3 linked regions of the Arabidopsis thaliana genome follow. The protein of the gene in region 1 interacts with the protein of each later gene in a pairwise test. Each region holds a gene or a part of one and is shown in the gene's direction. Other genes may lie near its edges. The genes, in order: NAC105, WOX1 and AGL52.

What was found.
Region 2: the proteins of NAC105 (region 1) and WOX1 interact in a two-hybrid assay, tested with the Arabidopsis thaliana proteins (one large-scale study listed by BioGRID).
Region 3: the proteins of NAC105 (region 1) and AGL52 interact in a two-hybrid assay, tested with the Arabidopsis thaliana proteins (one large-scale study listed by BioGRID).

Annotation. Positions count from the first base shown.
Region 1 is NC_003076.8:26,479,257-26,483,481, reverse strand, and holds NAC105 (NAC domain containing protein 105), read left to right. Parts: upstream 1-1,953; 5' UTR 1,954-2,234; coding exon 2,235-2,409; intron 2,410-2,701; coding exon 2,702-2,976; intron 2,977-3,048; coding exon 3,049-3,477; 3' UTR 3,478-3,716; downstream 3,717-4,225. Other genes in the region: AT5G66290 (uncharacterized protein), read left to right, coding at 4,041-4,076, 4,170-4,225. UniProt on the Arabidopsis thaliana protein: Transcription activator that binds to the secondary wall NAC binding element (SNBE), 5'-(T/A)NN(C/T)(T/C/G)TNNNNNNNA(A/C)GN(A/C/T)(A/T)-3', in the promoter of target genes.
Region 2 is NC_003074.8:6,160,230-6,165,473, reverse strand, and holds WOX1 (WUSCHEL related homeobox 1), read left to right. Parts: upstream 1-2,020; 5' UTR 2,021-2,290; coding exon 2,291-2,426; intron 2,427-2,529; coding exon 2,530-2,892; intron 2,893-3,021; coding exon 3,022-3,083; intron 3,084-3,827; coding exon 3,828-4,319; 3' UTR 4,320-4,741; downstream 4,742-5,244. Other genes in the region: AT3G18020 (Pentatricopeptide repeat (PPR) superfamily protein), read right to left, coding at 1-25. UniProt on the Arabidopsis thaliana protein: Transcription factor which may be involved in developmental processes.
Region 3 is NC_003075.7:6,847,709-6,851,074, forward strand, and holds AGL52 (AGAMOUS-like 52), read left to right. Parts: upstream 1-1,869; coding exon 1,870-2,859; downstream 2,860-3,366. Other genes in the region: TOPP7 (Calcineurin-like metallo-phosphoesterase superfamily protein), read left to right, coding at 275-834, 1,011-1,223, 1,307-1,324.

The DNA of each region.
Region 1 (4,225 bases):
GTGAAATCCTAGAATTGACGGGCTTGATTCGATATTAATATGGGATGGTGTACTACGGGTGATATTTTAGAATTGACTGGTTTGGGTTGATAATAATTTGCGATAGAATTAGGAGTGAAATCCTACGATGACAATTAAAATATAATTATACAATTAAATACTACCACGGGTGAAATTCTAGAATTGACGGGTTTGATTCGATATTAATATGGGATGGTGTACTACGGGTGAAATCCGAGAAACAACAATCAAAATACAATTATACAATATTAAACATTTAACAAAATAAACAAATACAACTTAAAACTTTAAAATTTGAGTTATAAAATTTCGTCTCGCGGTGAATTATACATTTAAATCAAACAATAGCATAAATTTATTAAATCATCCTAAAAATTATTCAATTATTTTTTATTTAATAAAAATATAGGCTCGCGGTATACCGCGGGTTAATATCTAGTCATAGATAGAAATGTTAAGCCGGGACAATTCCTTCTTAAATACCAAACAAAAAGTTTAAAATAAAAACGCATATATATATATCATCATTCTCAGATATTTATGAGCGGCTAAAGTCAAAACACTAAGACTAGAGGTTTTATTGATTTGGGGTTAGGAGTGTGTATAGAGTGAATGATTTTCAATCATGTAATCCCAATTCATAATGGTTGCATTGAAATTATTTTTGTTATATGCATAATTTAAAGAATAAGGAAATTGATATTAATTACTTCCTTTTCAAACCAGAGCATGATTAATAAATCACGTTTATTTGTCAATGCGCTGGTTCATATCTGATTTTTTACCACCGCCAAATTTGGAGTCCATTAACGTTTTTATTTTTTTATTTCTAGTAAATGTTAATTTGCTAAGACCCATTCAAACCCTTCGCTTCTTTGTTGCCCTCACCCTTCTACGTAAAGAACTTAACCGTTTAACCAATACTATTCGGCTACGTGTGTTCCACTTCACCTCTCTTTCCGAACATTCTTGGCATTGTTTTCAACAGCCGCGTTCAAAATGACAAATATAACCCTTTACTACTACCATTACTAGTCTACTGTACTACTAGTAGTTGACTCCCAAAGAATTACATAAAAACCATGCGCAAACGGAGGGGCTCCACAATTTTCCAATGTCCAATTCTCACAAAGTCAAGTCTAAAACTGTATACAGTATACATTCCTCTTTTATGACCCGATGACCTTTCAAACACATATGATCTCTTGCTTAAAGCATGCTTTATATAAGATCAATTGCATGTCTTTTTCATCTAAAAATCTTAATCTCTATTCATCTCTAACATCCTCTACATATATAACCTTTTGGTTTTGGCTGAAAAAAAGGCAGGAATTGTATCCAATTAACATTAAGTTATATACTTGATCGGGTCATCGCTTCACCAACGTAACTAGCTTTATAGGTAAAAATACATACATATCGTATTGTAGGCGTGAGATCAAGTGTGAGAGAGAAATATGTAGTTGTTTTGTCAAACACAGAGATCAGAGTGCTGACCCTAGAATTAACGACAAACAGACAAAACAAGTTTTACATCAGCACATTTGACACATAACGTCAGATTGTAATTGAAAATGTAGCACTACAACCGCGCGTACCATCGAGCTTCAGTATTTCCAATAGTCATTCTTTTCATAATTTGGAGTGTTTTAAATACATATATAAAGAGGAAACGAATATATGATATAAAATAAAGAATACAGGATTGTTGAAGGAGACATCATTTTGAGCATGAAGTAACACAAAAACAAAATGATGATAATCACAGCTTCTCTCTCCCGTTTCTCTCAAAACGGAGCCACCCACCTTTTTTTTTAATCTCCTTTTCATATGTCTCCATTCTAAGTTGTAACATAATCATTACTTCGTTTCATATATATATATATATATTAATTTGTAGATTCATATCTTCTAACATATATTTTTGTGTATCTTGTATATAAATGTGCATATATGTACAGAAAGAGTGATGGTGAATTACGCCAACGCGAAATGAACATATGATTACACTCTGAAGTCTAAACACACATGTCATCGTTCAAGTGGACGGTCCATATCTCTCTTTTCCTATACCTAACCAACATCTTCAATAAGACTCTCGTTCTATTGTTTTTCCCTTGATAGAGTCGGTTGATCGGGTTTCTTCTATGATCGATCTTTCTAAGATCAAGAAGAAACCGCAGCGAAATAAATCCTAGAAAATAACTATCAATATGATGAAGGTTGATCAAGATTATTCGTGTAGTATACCGCCTGGATTTAGGTTTCATCCGACAGATGAAGAACTTGTCGGATATTATCTCAAGAAGAAAATCGCCTCCCAGAGGATTGATCTCGACGTTATCAGAGAAATTGATCTTTACAAGATCGAACCATGGGATCTACAAGGTATATTATATATCTATCTCTCTCTATCTGTCTCTCTTATATCTTCTCGATACCAATGTTTATTCATGTGATCAATCGTTCATATAATATAATTGGTTCCGTCTTTTATATGTGCAATTTATGAATTATGTGCCCGAGTGACCCTACATATAAGGCTACATCTAGAGAGGTCAAGTTTTAGAAGTTAGGGTTAATTTATGAATTATGATTTAAACGATACCACCTACACATGTAAGCAACTATACTGTGTAGCTCGAAAGAGTAATATGTAACCTAAATGTGATACGTGTAGAGAGATGTAGGATAGGGTACGAGGAGCAAACGGAGTGGTATTTCTTCAGCCATAGAGACAAGAAGTATCCGACTGGGACTAGGACAAACCGAGCCACCGTGGCCGGTTTCTGGAAAGCAACGGGCCGGGACAAGGCGGTTTACCTCAACTCCAAACTTATCGGTATGAGAAAAACGCTTGTCTTTTACCGAGGTCGAGCGCCTAATGGCCAAAAGTCCGATTGGATCATTCACGAATACTACAGCCTCGAGTCACACCAGAACTCTCCTCCACAGGTAATTCGGAATCTTATTCACTTATAGCGCCACACATTCTGATTGATCTAGCTAGATTAAATGGTGAAGCAGGAAGAAGGATGGGTAGTGTGTAGAGCATTTAAGAAACGAACGACCATCCCAACAAAAAGGAGGCAACTTTGGGATCCGAACTGCTTATTCTACGACGACGCCACTCTCTTGGAACCTCTCGACAAGCGAGCCAGACATAATCCTGATTTTACCGCCACACCGTTCAAGCAAGAACTACTCTCCGAGGCCAGTCACGTCCAGGATGGAGATTTCGGATCTATGTACCTTCAATGCATCGATGATGATCAATTCTCCCAGCTTCCTCAGCTCGAGAGCCCCTCTCTTCCGTCGGAAATAACTCCCCATAGTACTACTTTTTCTGAGAACAGTAGCCGGAAAGATGACATGAGCTCCGAGAAGAGGATCACTGACTGGAGATATCTAGATAAGTTCGTGGCGTCTCAATTTTTGATGAGTGGAGAAGACTAAAAAAGGCTTTCCTATGCATGCATGCACTAGAAACGTCGTCGCATTTTGGATTTACATATATGGTCGTAATAATTCACCGAAGGAATTGATTTCGATGGATAAATAGAAGGTGAGAATCGAATAAGAAGATATATATAGGGCTTTACACTTACTCAGTTTGTTTCGTATAATGTATTAGTGACTCGAAAATATACGTTCAAATTACGGTGATTTATATTTTTATATATTTAATAAAGAAGTGGGCTCAAGGTGGGCCCAATAAAATGGGCTTTTGTCTACCATGCGTGGTGAAGCATGGCTTTGTGTTACTCATGCTTTGTCTCCTAGTCCTACCCATTGAATATCCAACGAGCTGGCGTTTTTTGTTTTAACACATTGTCGTCACTGGGGGTTTAAAACGGCACGCTGTTGTCTTGCACATGCGCGAAACGTCATATTGCGGTCTCCTCCTCCTTCTCCTTGGCGGAGTTGAGAAAACCTTGCTACGAGCGTTTCCAGATTTCTCCCAAAACGGAACTGCTGATTCCTTGAATAAAATTCCCTAATCGGAGTCTGTGAAGCAAATGGGAGCATCAGATTCAACTCTGCTAGGCTCTCAGGTAACTGATATATCGCGATTTGATTCTCCAGGCATCTTCCTGGGTCTATTATATATGCGAGATTGATTTATTCAATTTTTGATGGATTCTCAGGAAAATCGAGGTGATGTGATTACGACTATATCTCATCGATCAGAAATAGTCGATCC
Region 2 (5,244 bases), on another chromosome or scaffold:
GTCGCAGACGAGTGACGAAGAACATAACTTTCGTAGCAATCTCTGTTTCTCTCTTTCAAAACCGGTTTTTATACGACAAGACATTTATAGCTTGTTTGGGCCTAATCCGATTTCATTGGGCCAAAGTCTGATTTATATAAGCCCAGAGTTCTTTTTAATCAATTTTTTATATTTATTTTGTATATTAGTTAAGTTCACTCAATGTGATTATTTTTCCACCAAAATCTTTCATTTATTCTTATGAATTTACCTAATAAATAGAATATAAAAGTGTGAAAAGAAAAAAAATCATGCTTGAAAATATCTCTGTTAAAAAGAAACGTAATGATTCAGAGTGCGTGCGAAATCACGTATGATAACAAGCTTGCAACTCAGAAAAAGTACTTGACGTTTGAAGAAAGCCATAATTTTGATCATATGAAATTATGAATGATTATCGTAATTTCTTTAAAACAAAAAATAGAAAGATTGATTAAGTGATACACAATTCAGTTGTAAGCCAATCATATTTCAAAAACTATGAGATTTTATCATTTTTCAGAAAGAAAGAAAAAACATAAGATTTCATCGATTTTTCTAAAAAAAATCATATTTATTAAGTTTGAAAGATATATCACAAAATAAAAATTGAGATAATCACTTTGTTCATGTATGTCATTATATAATACCTACACCTTGAATCCATCGCTACATCTCAAACAAATGAGGGAAATATATAGTTTGATCACATAAACATGAGAACAAATAAAAAGCAAATTAGATCATTTTTTGGTACATCTTTTTCAAACTCAGGGATTAATATATTTACAATTTTTTCCAAAAAAGGGAGAAAAAACAAAAGGATTAGATTAGGGCTTGGGAAAAGACAGAAAAGGGGGATTTAAGATCCCAAAGAGAAGAAAGAAGGAAAAGGGTTTTATCTATGGAAAAGCAATTGTTTGAGAGAGACAAAAGGAGAAGAGGTTAAGAGTGTAAAGGAGACAAAGCCTATGGGGCAGTTGAGAACAAGAATAATAGTGAAAGCCACAACACACACATACATACACATATTTATTTAGGGATCTCATATTCGTCGTAAAAAGACATATTAATCTAATACTATAGGATATATAAAAAATGAATGAAAGAAACCAAAAGAAAAAAAGAATGAAAGAAAAGGAGTGATGGGGAGAGATGGGAGGAATGTCACGTCGTTATAAGCTCCTTCGCATCTCCCCATATCATTCATATCATATCCCCCCAGAATTCCACGCCCCTCCGATCCTCTCTCTCCTCTTTTACTAGTCAACCTCATCTTCCTAGCTTCAATTCTTTTATTTATCATTCCAAAATTATGTAGCTTAGTGAAATTCCATATATAGCTGATCACTGCATTTATTGAATTCGCTTAACAAATTTAAAGTGATTTGTCAATTATCATCACTGTACTTTATTACGTGTTCAGGGTAGGTGTATAGTTTTATCACCGTGCTTTAGCTAGGGTATAAAATTTTGTGACATATATTTGGTTGGGACGAAAGTTAATTTTTTAAAAATCTATTTATATGTCAGTTTCTATGTATAGTGGTTAAAAGTACTTACATCATCCGCAGAGTAATCACGTTTTGATTAGCATTCTAGTGGTACACATTGTACATGAAAGCTTTTATCATGCAATCTAAGCTTAATGTCTATGAATCTACATGTTTTTTTTAGTTAAATGAATCTACATGTTACATTAATCGTATTGTGCAAACAAACATTCCATAGCTTCCTACAAATGTATGATATGATAAAATTTCATCATGGGAAAGTACTATATATATAGGTCGTTTACTAATCAAGGATTATATAATGTTATGTTTCTTTTCTATACAAACATATTTATGATTTTGCAGGACGGTTGAGAATTTTTAAAGTGAATGGAATAAAAGGAAATAAAATAAAATAAACTTTTCTATTCATATGTAGAATGTTAATATTCTGTATTTAGAAATAAATAAAAGGATGTGTTAAATTGTCTACATATACACACACACACATATGTGCTTACAAAACCACCCCATTTGCATGCTCCCATTCTCACATTCACATACAAAGATATCTCTCAACTTTATCACTCTTCTCCAAACCCATAAGCCAAAATAGCCAAAACTACTTTCTACCATTTGTCTATTACTCCTTCAACCATATCATTCACATCTCCTCAGTTTCGATAAAACAAACAAAGCCCTAATATTTTTACTTGCTATATCGCTGTCTCTCTCCCTTCTCCTCTATAAACATACATATAAATTAAGTACACACCAAAATGTGGACGATGGGTTACAACGAAGGAGGCGCAGATTCCTTCAACGGAGGAAGAAAGCTTCGTCCTCTCATCCCACGTCTCACTTCTTGCCCCACCGCCGCCGTAAACACCAACTCCGACCACCGCTTTAATATGGGTATCTCTTTCTCTCTCTCTCGTCAATTTTTGGTGAAACTTTCCAGTCTCTCTTTCCCTTGTTTCTAATGCTCATTTTCTTGCTTTGGTTACGATTTTCACAGCAGTGGTGACGATGACGGCGGAGCAGAACAAGAGGGAGCTGATGATGCTAAACTCAGAACCTCAACATCCACCGGTAATGGTGAGCTCACGGTGGAATCCGACACCAGATCAGTTAAGGGTTCTTGAAGAGCTTTACCGACAAGGAACTAGAACTCCTTCTGCCGACCACATCCAACAAATCACCGCACAGCTACGACGGTACGGGAAGATAGAAGGCAAAAACGTTTTCTATTGGTTCCAAAACCACAAAGCCCGAGAACGCCAGAAACGACGGCGACAAATGGAAACTGGCCACGAAGAAACGGTCCTTTCAACAGCAAGTCTTGTCTCAAACCACGGATTCGACAAGAAAGATCCTCCAGGTAAGGGACCATAACAGAACTTGGGGATTAACATTCAAACAATAAAAGTCTTTTTGGATTAGAATGTCTTTTTGGGTTGATTTCATTTCAAAATTGACGGTTTGAAAATTCATGTCTGGAATTTTGCAGGTTACAAGGTTGAACAGGTCAAGAACTGGATATGTTCGGTCGGATGCGACACGCAACCAGAGGTATATATCTCTATTTATACATATATTTGTTTCTAAATTGATATTATTTTATGATATGTATTATGTATATATGTTGCTCATATTCTGTGTTTATAATGGTCTTGGGGTTTCTATTACATGAAAGGGAGTGTAATTAAGGATTGAGGGTTTACATATATAATTAGCATATGATTACAAATAGAATCTGCTAGCTAAGAATAAGTGAATTCCTTTTTGGAAGTTTGGGTAAGTTATTGAAAGAAAAAAACAAAAGGCAGAGAGATGAGGCGGTGGAAAAGACCAAGAAGTTAATTTATGGGGAACTTCAAAATAAGTATTTTTGTAGCATATGCAAAAATACGTATATTCTTAGCATATAATTATGGTTTTATTTTGTTTGAATATTAGTAGTATCTTTTTAAAAAGATTATTGAATTCATCCAAAAAGCTGCAGAGACTTTCCTTTCTGTCGGCACAGCTGCTACGTACGATCGATCCTTTAGCTCTGTGTCTTCTTGTTTTTGCTGAATTTCCATAAATTAATGTGCTTTTTCACTCCAAACACATGCTTGAAAAGACCCTTTTGACCCTGGTCTTTAACGGTCTCATTCTTCTTCACCCCTGTCCCTATCTGGAATTTTGTTTTAAGCATAAAGTTTGTCGCTTTGCCAAATTTTGACTTATTTGTTACCAATTTTTACATTTTCCGATGCTAATTTGACTAATTTCAACACATCTTGAATGTTCTTTCTTTTGCATAATTAGAAACCTTCCCGTGATTATCATCTGGAGGAGCCAGCGAATATACGGGTGGAGCACAATGCTCGTTGTGGAGGAGACGAGAGACGAAGCTTTTTAGGGATAAACACCACGTGGCAGATGATGCAGTTGCCACCTAGTTTCTACTCTTCTTCACATCATCATCATCAACGTAACCTCATTCTCAATTCACCTACTGTTTCCTCCAACATGTCCAACAGCAACAATGCTGTCTCTGCTTCTAAAGATACGGTCACGGTTTCACCTGTATTTCTACGTACGAGAGAAGCAACGAACACAGAGACTTGTCATCGAAATGGTGATGATAATAAAGATCAAGAACAACATGAAGATTGCTCCAACGGTGAATTGGATCATCAAGAACAGACACTTGAGCTGTTTCCACTGAGAAAAGAAGGGTTTTGTAGCGATGGTGAGAAAGACAAGAACATTAGTGGCATTCACTGTTTCTATGAGTTTCTGCCATTGAAGAACTAAACCTAATTGAAGTCTTTCAAGAAAAACAGCTTTTTGTTATTAGATGATTAGTTTAATTATTCAACCGAGTTAGGGAGAGTGAAAAAGGATAATTAGGGTTTTGTCTAGGAGTAAGGGCAGGCGTGTCTTTATGGTGTTGATGTTAACATTTCATAAGGGTTTGCCTTAAAATGCACTTTGGACCACTTTCTTTAATTGTTAAAAATGAACCAAACAAATTTAAAAAGGAAAAGAATAGAAAGACATGTGATTTTCCCAATAGTTTTTTCATTTGTGTGGATGTGGTGACTTAGGGTTTAGATCATGAAACTTGCTTGATTTGGTTGGTGAATGAAGCTATTTGGTGCTTTGGTGATGGGATAATCTGTTACGAGAATGGGAACTCGTTATTACTCTACATCTTTCCTTTAATTTCATGCGTTATTTCTAAAGAATATCTACACACACATGCATGATCTATATATATATATATGTGTGTGTGTGTATGTATGTGGGGATCTGTTTCTATGAGTTATAAATGCGCGAGAGACAAAAAGAATTGGGTTGATGTTGAAATGACTAAGAGAGTGGGAAAATATTATTGGTTTGGCACTTGTTTTGTTTTTCTCTTCACTAGCATACGAACAATATGCCTTTACATTTGCTATTATATATACAGTATATTCCTCAAAATTGAATGACTATTCGGGTCATGGTTCTACTTCTACCTATAGTAAGAGATAATTTTATATTTTTTAAGAATGAGAGTTTAAAACATATTATTCAATTAATATTTATTTAAACAAAAATTTCCCATAAAACACTAGCTAAATTTTCATTCATCTATGTCTTACGTACGAATTTTAACATTTTGACAAATTTTAAACTAAATTGAAAGCTTCGATAAGCTTGGTTTTTGATGAAAGCATGAAAGGAATTAGATCAC
Region 3 (3,366 bases), on another chromosome or scaffold:
TTAGTTAAATGCTCTGCCACTTTAAGTTAGTGTTTCTTGCGGAATTGTGAGTAGTGACCTCTTACTTTTGTGTCTTTGAGGAACCATGGTCCCTTAGCTCTGTTGCATAAGCAGTTGTTGGTATCTCGCTTGACTTATTACTTCATTTGATAGCTAATAGTTTTGTTTAGTTGCTGAATTTGGTGTATGATAGATATTAAACCCTTCTGTTGCTATCATAACTGTATGATTTGTAATTTTGTTGATGGTTTTAAGTTTATATGTTGATGAGCAGGAGATGTTCATGGTCAGTTTCCAGACCTCTTGCGGTTGTTTGAGTATGGTGGTTATCCACCAGCTGCGAACTACTTGTTTCTTGGGGATTATGTTGATCGTGGTAAGCAGAGCATAGAGACGATATGCCTTCTTCTTGCCTATAAGGTCAAATACAAGTTCAACTTCTTTCTTCTCAGAGGCAATCACGAATGTGCTTCAATCAACCGTGTATATGGATTCTACGATGAATGCAAAAGAAGATATAATGTTCGCTTATGGAAAACATTCACCGAGTGCTTCAACTGTCTGCCTGTTTCTGCTCTCATTGATGATAAGATCCTCTGCATGCATGGTGGACTATCGCCTGATATTAAGAGCTTAGATGACATCAGGAGAATTCCTCGTCCTATTGACGTTCCTGATCAGGGCATTCTTTGTGATTTGTTGTGGGCTGATCCTGACAGAGAGATTCAAGGCTGGGGGGAGAATGACAGAGGTGTCTCTTATACATTTGGGGCTGACAAAGTAGCTGAGTTCCTTCAAACTCATGACCTTGATCTTATATGCCGAGCTCATCAGGTAAAGCTAAAATTTATTCCTTGAGTTCTCTCTTTTGATTTCTCTGGATTGGTTTGTTCTTCTCTGTGACTGTTCTCTGAATTCAGAGGGTTAAGAAATCATAACTCAGTTGTTAATGCAAGGATCTGTAGTTTTTTCACCAAGCCAAGTTTTACTTAACTATACTGTTCCTGCAGGTTGTAGAAGATGGATACGAGTTCTTTGCAAAGAGACAACTAGTGACAATATTCTCTGCACCCAATTACTGTGGCGAGTTTGACAATGCTGGTGCATTGATGAGTGTTGATGATAGCTTAACATGTTCATTCCAAATCCTTAAGGCATCTGAGAAGAAAGGAAGATTTGGATTCAACAACAATGTTCCTAGACCAGGAACCCCACCTCATAAGGTGTGAAAATACTATCCCCCTGTATATAGATGCAATGTAGGTAGATGTTAGATATCAGGTTTGATATGTTAACATTCTTGCAGGGTGGAAAAGGTCGTTAACTCGTCGTCGATGGGTTCAAGAAACGAGTGAAACCGACGGGTTCGAATTTTGTAAGGCAAACAGTTTGTTTTGTTAGATTGTTATCTGTTTTCTTATGGTTGAGGCAACATTATGTTTTGTTTAGATTTTTTTTGTAAAAATTGTGGAAGATGTTCACAGCATTTTCAACTGAAGAAAGTTGGGTTTTATACAACTAACCTTTTAGAAACATATTCTAAAAACATAAACGTAAAATTTATAAAAATAATAAAATGAAACTTGAAAAACAATTATCTTATTTGACGTAATATATACTATAAGCTAAATAATAAGAGAAGAGGTAACCTAGATTTGAGGATAGATACTGCTTTTATCTTCTTCACGCGTCGCCGACGCGTATGCTTGTTCCCGTAGGCACCAAGGCAATCTATATAAACATATTGAGTGAAGTTTCACAATCTTTCACCATCAATTCCACAATTCTGCTTCTTCTTTGTGTGTTATCTCTCTGTCGGAGAAAAAAAAAACCCTAGTTTCTTGCTTGGCGAATCAAGGCAAAATCACGATGAAGCAAGCTTCTTCTTCTTCGTCATGTAATCCAACAAGTTTAACAAACAGACTTAAAACAATCTTTAAGAAAGCAGAAGAGCTTTCGATTCTCTGTGCTATTGACGTTTGCGTCATCTATTACGGACCAGACGGTGATCTGAGAACATGGCCTAAGGATAGAGAGACAGTGAAAAATATGGCTTTGAGGTATAAAGAGGACAGAAAACGCAAGAAGTGCCTCAATCTTCATGAGTTCCTCGAGAAAGAGAAGGTGAAGGACAAAGACAAGTATAAGGGGAAGACGAATTATGTGAAGAACCCTAATTGGTATCCAAACTTTGATCATTACTCTCCTCAACAACTCTCTCAATTGATTCAGTCCTTAGAACGAACACTTTCTACTCTCCAAAAAAGGCTTCGTATTGTTGAGTCGCAGAAAAAACAGAACACAAACTTGGTGCATCAGAGTTTAACACCATCGTATCTGAACCAGACACAACACTTGGATCCTAGCAAGTTCTCGCTGTATATGTACAACCATGGAGATGCTACTCTCTCACAACTCCCACTGTCTGCTTCACAATCCAATCAACTCATCAATTACCAGATGCAGCATGGTTTTGGTCAGAACATGTGTTTGGACAACATCACCAACAACAACAACTTTCAACATCCTGGCGTGTCAAACACACAAGACTACTCACCGTTACTTTCGGCGAATAACTACGGGTTGAATAATCACTTGATGCAGCAACAGGATCAGCTTCATGGTTTTGATCAGAACTTGTGTATGATGAGTGAAATCATCAATAACAACAACGGTTTACAACATCCTAATCTCTCAAACACTGTTCCACATGAATTCCCTTATGGTAACACTAGCTTCTCTCAAGATATGTTTTCGAGCTATGATGGGAGCAGTTTGCTACAGACATCTTCTCTGCCACCTCTCCACAACATTCCTAACAGCTATTGTTTTTCTGACAACTCAAGACTTCTCTGCTAACAAATCTGTCCAAAAGGATTTGTTTTTTGAAGCTTCATTAAGAGTCAGTCAATACTTATAAGTAGGAAGCTGATCAGAGAGAGATTGAAGCTGTTTTTGCTTCTGAATTCTTCCTGCTACTGTCTTTTTTTATTTTACAGTGTTGTTATAACTGTAAAACAGATCCATTTGTGGAGATTTTGTTTTTACTTTTAAGTTGGTATTTCAGTTAGTATTATATATATATATATATATATATATATGAACTTCCATAAAAGTCTTTCACAAAAACTTGCATGAAACAAATTATAATCTAAAATCACTTATGGTGACAAGACTGTTTCAATTGGTTGATACAACCTGCAAAGTGAAATCCTTTACTCTTGCATCTTATAACAAACTTGTAACTTAGTATCCTTCTTGTCTGAATCAGCTAATATATACATGAAGATGGAAAGTAGCTCTGATTTCGTGAAGACAAATTCTCTGCACCCAATTACTGTGGCGAGTTTGACAATGCTGGTGCAT